2 linked regions of the Caenorhabditis elegans genome follow. The protein of the gene in region 2 interacts with the protein of the main gene of each other region in a biochemical or structural test. Each region holds a gene or a part of one and is shown on either strand. Other genes may lie near its edges.

What was found.
Region 1: of the proteins of asd-1 (region 2) and sup-12, one has a biochemical effect on the other in vitro, tested with the Caenorhabditis elegans proteins (one study listed by BioGRID).

Annotation. Positions count from the first base shown.
Region 1 is NC_003284.9:3,902,918-3,908,185, reverse strand, and holds sup-12 (RRM domain-containing protein), read right to left. Parts: upstream 3,596-5,268; 5' UTR 3,548-3,595; coding exon 3,466-3,547; intron 3,273-3,465; coding exon 3,115-3,272; intron 2,696-3,114; coding exon 2,566-2,695; intron 2,378-2,565; coding exon 2,308-2,377; intron 2,048-2,307; coding exon of another isoform or gene 2,032-2,047; exon of another isoform or gene 2,002-2,031; intron 1,373-2,001; coding exon 1,212-1,372; intron 1,141-1,211; coding exon 995-1,140; 3' UTR 515-994; downstream 1-514. Other genes in the region: T22B2.5 (Neur_chan_memb domain-containing protein), read left to right, coding at 9-42.
Region 2 is NC_003281.10:4,195,619-4,202,771, reverse strand, and holds asd-1 (RRM domain-containing protein), read right to left. Parts: upstream 5,488-7,153; 5' UTR 5,475-5,487; coding exon 5,445-5,474; intron 3,904-5,444; coding exon 3,657-3,903; intron 2,788-3,656; coding exon 2,648-2,787; intron 2,599-2,647; coding exon 2,451-2,598; intron 2,271-2,450; exon of another isoform or gene 2,225-2,270; intron 2,160-2,224; coding exon 1,722-2,159; intron 1,159-1,721; coding exon 947-1,158; 3' UTR 512-946; downstream 1-511. Other genes in the region: pelo-1 (Protein pelota homolog), read left to right, coding at 143-398.

The DNA.
Region 1 (5,268 bases), on a different chromosome or scaffold from region 2:
GTTTTCAGTGGTGGCCAAAATGTCTCGAGCAGCTTAAAATAATTATTCTCTACCCTCATTTCGGTTAGTTATTCTACTATTTACTATTTGTAGATGGTTTCTCAAGGCATTTCAATTTTTTTTAATTTTCAGCCTGAAATGTCATTCGGAAGTGTTCAATGTCATCTACTACCACTACTATCAGTTTTAGAATTTACAGGATCGACAACTTCAATCAGTCAGGATATTATATTTTCAGAGCCAGTTTTTTCTTCTTTCACAGGTTCTTTTCCCTATTTTTTTGGATGGAAAAAATTCGTCAAAAAATTATCATTCATTCTAAAAGTATCATTCTGCCTAGTACTGTATTTTTTGTTTTAAATTCGATCTACGAAACTACAATATAGTATTGCATTATTTCTTACTGTTTGCCAAGATGACCTAATGCTGCAACTAGTTCCTGTTGTATCCATCTGCCTTCTGTTTAAACCCCCGTTCATTACAACTACTTCCAGTTTCTGCATCACACGTGATTAGGTTTTGAAATCGGTTTATTGTAAACATTAAATGCAGGAACATGTACGACTATTACGAACTCACCATATGAAATTAATTTGCAAATTCAATGAGGATGTGCAAATGGCACATTAAAATCAGGCAACTCTGGCGTTTCGGGAAAAAATTGAGAAGAAAAAACATCGAACGTGTAGAAACCCACATCAGAGATTTGTAATTTGAAATGAATAAGAAAAAAATTGACAAAATCAAAAAGAACTGTGACTAAAATTGTAAAGTATATGGGAATAAAGTTGAAATTGGAAGACTAGATAGAACTGTTTGATTTGCGTAAGAATCTGATATTTGGGTAGGACAAAGTTGTAAAATTATCAGTATAACTCGGGCAAATACCTATGTTCTCTATTGGCAAAATCAGTTGGCGAATTATTGCTGGGACGACAATGACAATCGGTTTTATGAATGAGTGAATGACAAATTGAAGAATATTATTAGGATTCTAGACACGTTGATGCTCAAGCTGTTGTTGTGCGGCAGCTAATTGTTGCAACTGTGGGTTTCCAATATTGTAGGCAGATTGGGGAACTAGGCCGTATCCTGCTGGATAGGCGGCGTATTGCTCAATTGTTGTAGGGGCGGCTGCGACTGAAAATGTTTTATTAAATTTGAAAAAAAAAAATTTTTATTTAATTTTAACTTCCTATCGTCGAACATACATTTTCCTTGGGACTGAATACCATAAGCGGCGGCAGCTTGTGGGTTCATTACTGCGGCCAGAGCATTATAATCGAACAATTGTTGCTGAGCAGCGGCTCCTTGTTGTGCCATCAACGGATTGACCAGTCCTGTGACAGTCGGATAATACATTTGAGGAAGTCTAAAAAAAAGTATTGATTAATTACCGAACACGGAATTGACAGGAGGATGTAAATGCCAAATGCTGGAAATGAGGCAACAGTGTTTATCACAATATCACCCAAAAAACACGCACATGCGTGATAAAAATTCACTTTTTTTGGTTCTGGAAAGTATAATTATTTTTGTTTTTGTTTTAACAATATTAAGAAACTCCACATTTTTTCAGTTCAGTTTTTTTGAGTTAGTGCAAAAGAAATATCTAACATATTTGGATAGAATGAAAAGTAAAATCATTGACAACTTCAAAATTCCAAAAAAAAAAGTATCAGAAAAGACGTAACCAAACTATAGCAAAGTTTAGAAAATGCGTGATGGTTTTAGTTAGGCAGCCAAACCCATTGACCTACAAAGAAATAATCATCAATCCCACCAATGAAGAAAACAACTTTGGGGTGCTCAGTTCATTCAGGACTATGCAAGTTTTCACCAAGGGAAAAGAGAAAAACTCGAAATCATATAGGTTTGGGAAATAGGTGAAAATGAAGAGAAAGAGAGTATGGACACGTCAAAAACACAGCACTATTGTATTCCGCTTTTGGTTTGGAAAATGAAAGTAATGATATTGGCACACGTCAAAGCACGCCTAACCTTTAGTTTTAGGCATCCACGGATTTCGATTCAACCGGCCACTTGTCTTAAAATATTTTGGTTTACAATCATTAATATTATTTAAGTTATTATTAAACGTGTGAAGATGGTTGAACACAAGAGTACTTCTCAAGTATCCTAGGCAACTTTTGAGCTAGAGCACAAAGTTCTACAGTGTTTTGTCATTGCTGTTGTTGTCGTGTTGTTTCTTTTTTCTGTATCAACACAACTCAATTAGCGGTGATTTTTGGATGAGATAGGAATTGTTGGAAGTATGTCACACACAGGCAAATCACCGAAACTTACCCCATTCTTGGTTGAAACAAAGCCTGAAGTTGAGTGGTGAGTGGAAGTTGAACTTGTCCAGCGGCCAGCGCTAAAATGACCAACTTGGTGATTTTGGTTAACACAGACAAAAACTGAATAGAGATGCGCGACACAAACAATATCCTTTGGTTATGAAGGTTGTGGAGGATTGATAATGTTTAGCAGAAGCCAAAACACACGGGGAGAATAAAATGATCTGAGAGCTGCTCAAGAGCCGCACAAAAATTCGAAACTTACCAGCAAGTTGCACATTTGTTCTTGGTTTAGCTCCGAGGTATGCCAAGTTGACATTAGCCTTCCTTCCATCAATGATTGGATTTGGATCTTTACAAGCTCTTTCTGCAGAAGCACGGTCCTTCATTGTTACCTGAAAAGTTATGTTTCATTAACAAACATATGTAAAGATCATGTTTTTTTGCGAAGAGTAATCTTTCCATCTTTGCTGTTGCAACTATTTGTTGAGATATATATGGTTGGGAAATGTTTGCTAACAAAATACGCGTGCGATTCCTATGAAGAGCCGCTTGAGAGGTCAAAGCAGAACCGCGAGATTTCGGAAATTTGAAGATTTCTTCATCCACCTTGTTCCCGAATTATTTTCCAATTTAGTGAAGTTAAATCAAACGAAATTGTTTCCTCTTTTATCTGGACGGACAAGATAAAAAATGGTTAATCATGTCAAAAGTGATTGATGATTAGAAACCGTTTCGTTTCAATTGACCTCCAACGTAAGATCTCGTGAAAAAATATCGCAAACTAGAAATTTTTGACATTCCAGTGACTTACAAATCCATATCCTCTGCTTTTTTGTGTGTTACGATCAGTGATGACTACAGCCTCTTCAATATCTCCAAACTGCTCAAAATACTCGTGAAGCGTCTTGTCACTTGTATGGTATGGCAGACCACCGACAAAGATTTTGGTGAACATGGTATCACGGGAACCTGAAAATGAATGGAGATGAACTAAAAAATTTGAAATATTTCCAGTTTCTATTCCTATCGCAAGTCTTCTTTTAAGTGGAACCATATGTGAGGTTACACACAAAAGTTGCATACCACTGTCATTTTTCCCTATCTTTTTCCCTCTCTAAACCATCATCATGTGACAATTCGATGGGGATCACAGGAAACTCACCAACTACTGGTTCGGCGTTGGTTGATTGTGCCAAAGCAGCGGCAGCAGCATGCACCAGTGGATCTTGGACTTGGCCGTACATTTTTTACTTGATTTATATAGGGCCTAGCTTAAATACCGTGAAATTGACCTGCAAAATGTTTTTGTTTGAAGTTTTGTATATATATACATAGAAATATGAGAAGTTTATAAACGATAATTTAAAAAAACATATACAACATCGAAGGTGTGAATCAATAGGAAATGAGCTAGAGCCAACATGAAACTGAAAACTTTACACTGCTATTATCTATCACTCGTCATGATCAATGAGTTATCAGAGACCTTACTTACCTCAGAGACCACATAGGTAGAGATAGTGAAAACTAAACGAAAGGCGACAAATCGCGAGAGAGAGATAAAATAGAAATGGATAAGAACGAGCCGACGAAAAGCTCGCGCGCGCACAAAATCCGTAGGTCTGTCTCCGGTGGTGGGTGAGCCTGTCAAAGTTTTGCTGCTCTCCAAACAGAAGCCAACCACCGCCCGCCTGTCGTCGCAAAAATTGACTCTTTCTTTCCAACACTCTTCCCCCCGGTCAATTTTTGCCATAATATTTCACCACAATGAGCCGTTGCGCAAATAACACCACCTCTGGAGTATCGATTTATGTCATGCTGATCCAGAAAAAAAAGATTGAAATCGATGAAGAGAAATAAAACGCGAAATAACAACAGAGCTCAACTGACAACGAGTGGGTGGATGTTGGGATGAAGTAAAAGAAGAAGGAGGAGAAGAATAAGAAGAAAGAAGGCTCAATCAAAGGATGCGACAAGGAGAAGTTGCTCCAAGAAGAAAAGAATAGAGACAGAATGAAGAAATAATCCATCTCTGATCACATTGCATTCATGATGTGGTGGTGGGAAATACAGAATAATACTTATACTGTAAGATGTTATTTGGAAAACAATTACGAACTGCAGTATAATTTTTTGTTTTTCTTTTTCTGTGTGAAATTTTAGCTGAGAGGAATGTACAGAGGATTTTGAATTTGGCGGCGATTCAAAAATGAAACAACCATTTGTTTGTGCCCAAAAATAGCAAAGAGAGCCCAATTTGTTGCGATGCTACAAAAAAAGAAAAAAATACCGTTCGCTCAATGTGCTCGGACTAAGACGTTCGCATGTTTGGACAATCCGAGAAAGGCAGCGAAAACAGTGGGAGGCAAAAGAAACAAACTGATGCTCTCCTCCTCCCGGGGGCTAGTCTTGTTTTTCGGGAATACAATTGCTTCAAATCTGTGCGTTTCGAGTATGGGAGTCTTTACCGCCCCTCGTCCTCACCGCCTGATTAAACAATTGGAGGACTTGGAAAGCTGTTGTTGAACGACGCAGAGCACTCTGAATATGGCGGTTCGTCACATTTACATGGAAAAACTTTAAGGATTCTTATGTGAAGTGCCATGTGCATTGAAAATATGGGAAAGTGTTGAAGATTTGAAACCCGGACGTGGTGGTGTTTCTCATCATATCAGTTTATCTTCGATAGTAAGCACAGAGACCGTATAAACCATGCAGAGAGGAAATTTCACTTTTTTATGTTATTTATGTCCGTCCGCAAAACTTCGAAGACACATGACTGAATGAAACTGTTTGTTACAAAATGATTGATTAGAGGGGGGGGGGGGGGGGGTAGAACTAAAACTGGAAGGGCTCTGAATACCAAATACCAGAACCAAATTTTTTACTAAAGGTGAAGAAGCTTTACAAATAGTGGGGAAAAAGGGGATACCATCGAGTTTTTGCAACTTTTTGAGAAAACTAT
Region 2 (7,153 bases):
GAAAAAGCTATAAGTGAATCAAATTTTTGCCGGTATGAGTGTTAATATCAAAAATAATTAGTAAACTGGTGTAAACTCGACAGATTGTTGTGTTGGAGCTATTAAATTCGATAAAAACTACTAAAATTTCACAATTTTTCAGCCATGTGAATCGTGCAAATCAAGAGCTCGCCATCGAAACACTCCTTGTCGCTGATTCTCTATTCCGAGCCCAAGATATTGAGACACGACGAAAATACGTAAGACTTGTGGAAAGTGTTCGAGAACAGAACGGAAAAGTTCACATTTTCTCTTCAATGCACGTTTCTGGAGAACAACTCGCTCAGTTGACTGGATGTGCAGCTATTTTGAGATTTCCGATGCCTGATTTAGATGATGAGCCGATGGATGAAAATTGATTGTTTTTCTACATTTCTAGTTGTTTTTTTTTCTCTTTTTTTCTGAAAATGGGAATTTGTTTCGTTGTCCCTATTGCTCTGTACATTTTTTTTTGTTTTTTGAAATAAAAATTATTAAAACAATTTTTGTTCGAGAAAAAAAAGAAGATTGCACAGAAAAAGTAGAGAAAAATTGATAAAGCAACACCAAAAATTGAGAAAAGAGATGCATCGAGTGAGAGAGGGAGGGAAGATGAATTACAATCCGTAGCATACAATTTCAAAAGGTTAGAAAAATTAGTAAGAAAACAACTTATTACACAGAGTTCCGTGAGAATATTATGAATATCAAATAAAGCCAAATTGGGGACGGGATGGGGGTCATCAGAGTTTTTAATAGAGATTAAAATGTATTTTTTGTCTGGAAATGTTCTGGGAAAATATGTAAAATTACACATGAATTAATATGCGTCAGATGGGGCAATGGGGGAATGTGATGGATTATTCCGAGAATTGTGTAGAATTAAAATTACATTATTCGAAAATCCAGTGAGTATATAAACATAAAATTAATATGGAGCAAAACGTCGTTGAAGAGCAGCCGCAGCAGCAGCCGCTGGATGCAGAGCCTGTGAGTGATGATGGAAATTTGCTGGAACTGCTCCTTGCATTGATTGTTGTAAGTATTGCTCTCCAATTGAGCCTGCAGCGACTTGATTTTGTGATGATCCGGTGGTGGCTGTTGATGTTGGAATGCGCCCTGGCTGAGGAACACCTCGACCTGGAAAATTTCAGTTTTTAACGTTGGAAAAATTTTGGTTTTCCGATTTTTTTTTGTTAATTAAGGTAATTTCTCAACATGTTAGATTAAAATATAAACTAAAGTTTAGTTTTTATTTTTAGAAAAAAAAATCAAATTTTCAATAACTTTGGGTCATTTCTTAAGATTTTTCGGTTTACTCTGAAAAATCCAAAATTAAAAAAAAAACGTTCTCTCATCGAAAATCACAACTTTTTCGTTAAACCTAGTTTTCTTCTCCTTTTCGTACAATTTTCTAATTTTTTCCCGACGTTAACTTCGCAGATTTTTAGATTTTCAAAAAAAAAAACCGAAAATTTTCGTTTTTTACATTATAAAAATTGTAATTTATCAATTTTCAAACAAAAAAGTAAATATTTTTATCATCGAAATCAATAGCTATAAATAATCCATAGTTTTCTCCTTTCATTTATTTCAAATTTTTTCTCGATTTTTTAACGTTCAATTATTTTTGGAAAACATTAGAATTTTCAATAATTATTATTTCAAAAAAAAATCATTTCTCAATTTTTCGAAGAAATAACCTTGAGCAGCGGCAGCAGCAGCTTGAAGTTGCATTCTCTGTTGCTCAAATGCAATCAACGTGACCATTTGTGCTTGAGCAGCTTGTGCCTGTGCCTGAGCCATCGGATCCATTGCAAACTGTTGTTGATGTTGAATAAGCTGAGCCATCGATGTCGGTGGAGCCTGTGCTTGTGCCTGTTGCTGTTGTTGAAGACTTAAAAGGAATTGAGGATTCTGCATTTGTTGCTGTTGTTGTTGAGCAGCGAGCAGTGCCTGTTGATATTGAAGAGCTTGCAGTTGAGAGATGGCTGCTGCAGAAGTTGGTGGCATCATGAGTTGTTGATGACGTGGCACAAGGAATTGTTGAGCAAGAAGTTGCTGTTGCAGAAGAGCAGCACGTTGAATCTGTTGTTGTTGGGATATCAGAGCATTTTGAGCACTCATTGCGTCCACTCCAACTGAAATATTTTGAGATTGATATTCGAAAATGGAAAATCTCGGACCAAGGGTGTATATTTTTCGATTTGTGAAAAATCGAAAAATCAAAATTTTTTCGATTTTTCGAAAATAAGCTCCAAATTTTGATCCTTTTTCTTTTTAAAATTGTATGTTTTATTAAATACGATTAATATTGTAAACATAAAAAATTGGATTTTTTAATGTGTTCAGAAAACTTGGACAAAAATTTCGATGGCTCCTTTTTCCGATTTTCAATTTTTTCCAGAATCACGAAACACTATTTTCCTTACCTGACATCAAAGGCTTGGCCTTTTTATTGTGAACTCTCTGAGTAGCAAGATTCACTTCAACACGTCTCCCTTCAATCGTCGTTCCATTAAACTCGGCTCGAGCACGATCCGCATCATCTGGATTCTGCATTGTCACGAATCCAAATCCCTGGAATTTATTTATTAATTTTTTCTGAAAATGTTGTTTTAAAACAAACCTTAGAACCCCGTTCATTGAAGATAATCTCGACATCTACGACGGGCCCAACTTTTTCAAACATCGCAGTGAGATCTGGCTCACGATATTTGAACGGGATATTCGAGACGTGTAGGCGGCGTGGTCCATCTGTACTACTTGCTGAAAATATTTTTTCAAAAGTGTTCTTGGGATTTAAATGCCTAAAAAATTTTTTTAATATTATTTTTTTGATGATTTCCTTCTGTTTTTTTTTTCAAAAAAATTTCAAAAAAAAAAGAGAAATCAGAAGAAATTAATAAAAAACTAAAAAAGCAGTCAACCTTGGGGTGTGGGCAGTGTGCTTGTACGCATTCCAGAGGTTAATATATGTATGGCTAGACGAAAAAAAAGAAAACCACTATTGAAATTAAATAACTGCCACCGATATGAACATTATCCACAATTAAAATAGCACGCAATGATGTGTGTGCATTTATTTTAAATTATTATTACCTGGAACAATAAATTCTGAGAATTCGTATTTCGCAGGATAGTTGACGCGCAAAGTATCTCGTAGCGAAAACTACAGTAACCCTTTAAATTAATACTGTAGCGCTGGTGTCGATTTACGAGAATCATTTTAAATCGAAAAAATATTAAAAGAACACAAAAATGATAGAATAATTTGATATCGCTCCCACAGTTTGAACAGAAATTCATTTCGAAATCGTGCCCGTAAATCGACACCAGCGCTACAGTAGTCATTAAAGAATTACTGAAGTTATCGCTACGAGATATTTTGCTCGTCAAATATGTGGTGCAGTACGCATTCTCCGAATTCAAAGTTCCCGTAAATTATTTATTTTTTTCGCTCATTGCACACACATCATTGGGCACTTTTCATGCATTTCTCTGGTTTTGTTTAATAAAAAAATAGAACACAAATCTCTCTCAAGTCTTCCACGAAGACGTGCATTATCAAATAAGCTCTCTCTTTTTAATGCTAAAAAACGTAGGAAGAATAGAGAAGAACATTAGGAGTCTCTTACAGCTAGTGCTGCGATCATTCGGAGCCACTGGTCCAATCGTCAGTGGCTGCTGTTGCTTCTGTTGAGTTGGTGGTGGTAGTGGTTGCTGCTGCAGCTGTTCCGTTGATCCTCCAGATGTTTGAGATTGTGGAGCCTCTGGAGAGGATCCGATTTGATGTGGTCGGAGCACAGCGGCGGCAGCTCCATTTTGAGCAGCTACCATTTGCTGCTGGAGAGCCACTTTATAGTCGAAATCGTTTAATTTTTCCTGAAAACGGTAAAAGCAATGTCATTCACTGGGGAGGGAGCTCATGCGGTTTTGTCGACGAGGGGATGAGGAAGAATGATCTCCTGTTTCGTGCGGAATATGACGTCATCTGAATGATTGGTTGAACATGGATGATAGATGTAGACATTATTATTATTAAATGAAATCGGTTAGAAATGAAAGATTGAAAGAAAATTGGTTGAAATATATAGTAATCCTAGGGTATATTTAAAAAATGGAACCTGATAATATTTATGATTTTTTATGGAGAAAAAAAAATATAGAGATAGGAGTTGTCATCCAAAAATATGTTTCAAAAATTCTTGTGAGAAAAACCAGGTCTCGACGCGACCGAAAAGAACGCAGGGTATTTGGGGTACTGTAATTTCTCGCAATTTTCAAAGATGAATTATTTATTATGGGGGCGCAAATATTGCCCATTTCGAAATTGACGCCAATTTTAAACGCTCCGCCCCCAAACTATGGGTCTTATTAGGAATTTGGCGGAAAAACCATAAATTCAGACTTTCTAAATCGATAATTGAAAAAAGAGAAAAAGTACTTGAAAATTGGCGAAACTAATTCAAACATTTGAATTAACTATTTTGCCGCCAAAACGAAGCGAATATTTTTCTGCCTCCCAATAATATTAAAATTTCAATAGGGGGTTTTCACAATCCAGCAGTTTTTTATTCCAAAAAGCCATTTAAATGGACACAAAAGCGAGAAACATTGCATGCAATTTCATAAATTAGACTATCATGGGAAAGTAATTTTATTCTGCCTCAGATGTTCAATTGACTTTTTATTCAAATTTCGTAGATTCAATTTTCCTGACTAAAAATCCACATGCAAAATATTTATATATATATACCAGGTTCCATTTAACCATATTACAATTAGACACCTAGCGTGATTTGATTAGTATAAAAATGAAATTAAAAACTAGAAAATAAAATAAAAAACTGTGTTTCACTAAATACATTCAACCAGTGTATGTGTGTAGGTGTACGTGTGGGTGTATATCATTTCATCATCATCATCCATGCACAAAAAACCATTGAGAATTTGTTATTTGGAACAGATATTGGTTTTTTTTTCGAAAAAAAAAGATTTCTCCAATATTTTCCAGTCTTTTGCCACGTGGCAATGATAAGCTAGAGAGGGGCGTTTGGAAGAGGAGCAGACATTGGTTATTCAAACTGAAATTTCATTCACTAATTGGGTCTCGAGTGGAAAACTAGTGCACTTCCACTCGAGACCCAACTCGCGAAAAGATATAGATCGAAATTATAAGAAAGGCCACAAAACCGCATGCGCCGCTAGCCACGGAAGAAAAATGAGAGATACTTATAATATATATATATACTTGTTCAGAATATATATAATACCGGTGCAAACACCACAAAAATCAATGTTTTGGTTAAAATTATGTGCATAATATGGAAAAGATGAGGGGAGCGCTGGAAGAGAAAATAAAACGCTCGATGTTTTGTTTTTTTTAGTTGGAGAAGAAAATACCTGAAATTATATTGACTCACCACTGTTATTATTTCAGCCGCCGTTGTCATTTGTAGAGAAGATCTGGAACAACAAATATTTGGAAAAGCTTTTTTTTTTCGAAAAGATAGATTTTGAAGGAAGAAAAAAGCTTTAAAAAATCGATTGAGATTTCAAGAAAATATGTGGATTTTTCAAAATAAAAATATGTGCCCAAATGAACGAAAATTTGAGACTTTTAGTCAGTTTCTCAAAAAAAAACTGTATGACTGTTCAAAAATTTCGAAGCATACTTTTCCTTACAGCAGCTGAAATACAGCGACATGTAAAAATTGGAATTTTTGCAATTTTTTCGAAATTTTGAACATTTTTTTGGGAAGTCTCATTATAAGATTCGCTCAGTTGGGCACATTTAGAAATGAATTCCTAAAACAAAATGTACAAACCAAAGCTACTCGTAAAGAAAAACTGAAGTAACATCGGGAAAAAACCCGCTAAAAATGGATAGGAAGGATGATAGAGAATTAGAGAAAAAGAGCGATACACGCGCAACGAGCAGCTCACGAGGAGGCGGGTAACACAGAGGAATGTGGTGGCCTGGGTAAAGCTAGGCCATTGGATCCTGTGCAAAGATTTTTGTGAGCAAAAACTTATTTTTTTGAAGAAATTGTATTGGTTTTTGAAGTTATGAGAAGAAAAAGTCTAGAAACAGATTTTGAAAGGACTGAAATAACGTAAAAGACATTGGAAACTTAATCAAATTTCAATCTACAGTATCTACAGTCTTTCAAAAAAGTTCTGCCTTCAGAGGTAGCTACCAACACTTGAAACGGGGCCAAAACTGGTTGTTCAGTCTCAAAACGACCCTATTTTTCGATAGTTTTCCGTCTTTTTTTTGTGTCATCTTGCCTCATTTTCCTCACTTCCTCTCTCTTTCTCCTCAGTGTTCAAGGTCTTTTCTTTGTTGTGACACGGGAACTAATTTTGATGTGAAGTGATCGGATAAATATTTTGTCATATCAGGAATGAATAGGTGCAAATTACGAATATTTCTTTTCAATGTTTTTTAGGCATAATAGCGAGGAAAAACTAGAAAACACGCTTAAAAATGATGAAGAAGGAAGAAAAATCAGAAAAGACAAACAAATAATTACAGTGATCAAAGGTGCATGCATACAATTTCCAGGTGGGTCTCGCAGCGGTAGGTAATCCAATAAATTTAATAAATATTGCGAAAATGAAGCATTTCGATGCCGATTTCTCTCTAAGAATCGATTCGAATCTACTTTTTTGTTTAAAAGAAGCACAAAAACTCCACTTTTCCTGTGAAAGGGATTAGTACTCGCACTTGAAGAGAAACAAAAAAGTGGAAATAGTGAGTCCTTATTGTGAGAAAATTGAAAAATGGAAAACGAGAAAATGAAAAACCGGGAGGAGAATAGGGAGCTGGAGCGTTGCGAAAATAAACGAGGAGAAAGTGAGGGGGAAAAATGGAAAATAAAAAGACAGATGGGCACCATGTGGCGGCGGAGAATGACCGATTCAATCGATTTTTTAATTGGTTAGTCGTAGAAAAAGTGAGTGAGAGCAGAGGCTATTAAACCAGGATTGAGCGTCTTAAGCTCAATGAGTTCAGCACTTTTTCAATCTGACAACTTTTATATCGAATTTTGTGTTTAGACATATTTTGTATCGTACTAAAGTATTATTCAACAAAAAAAAAACTACAATTTAAAGATCGTCTGAATTT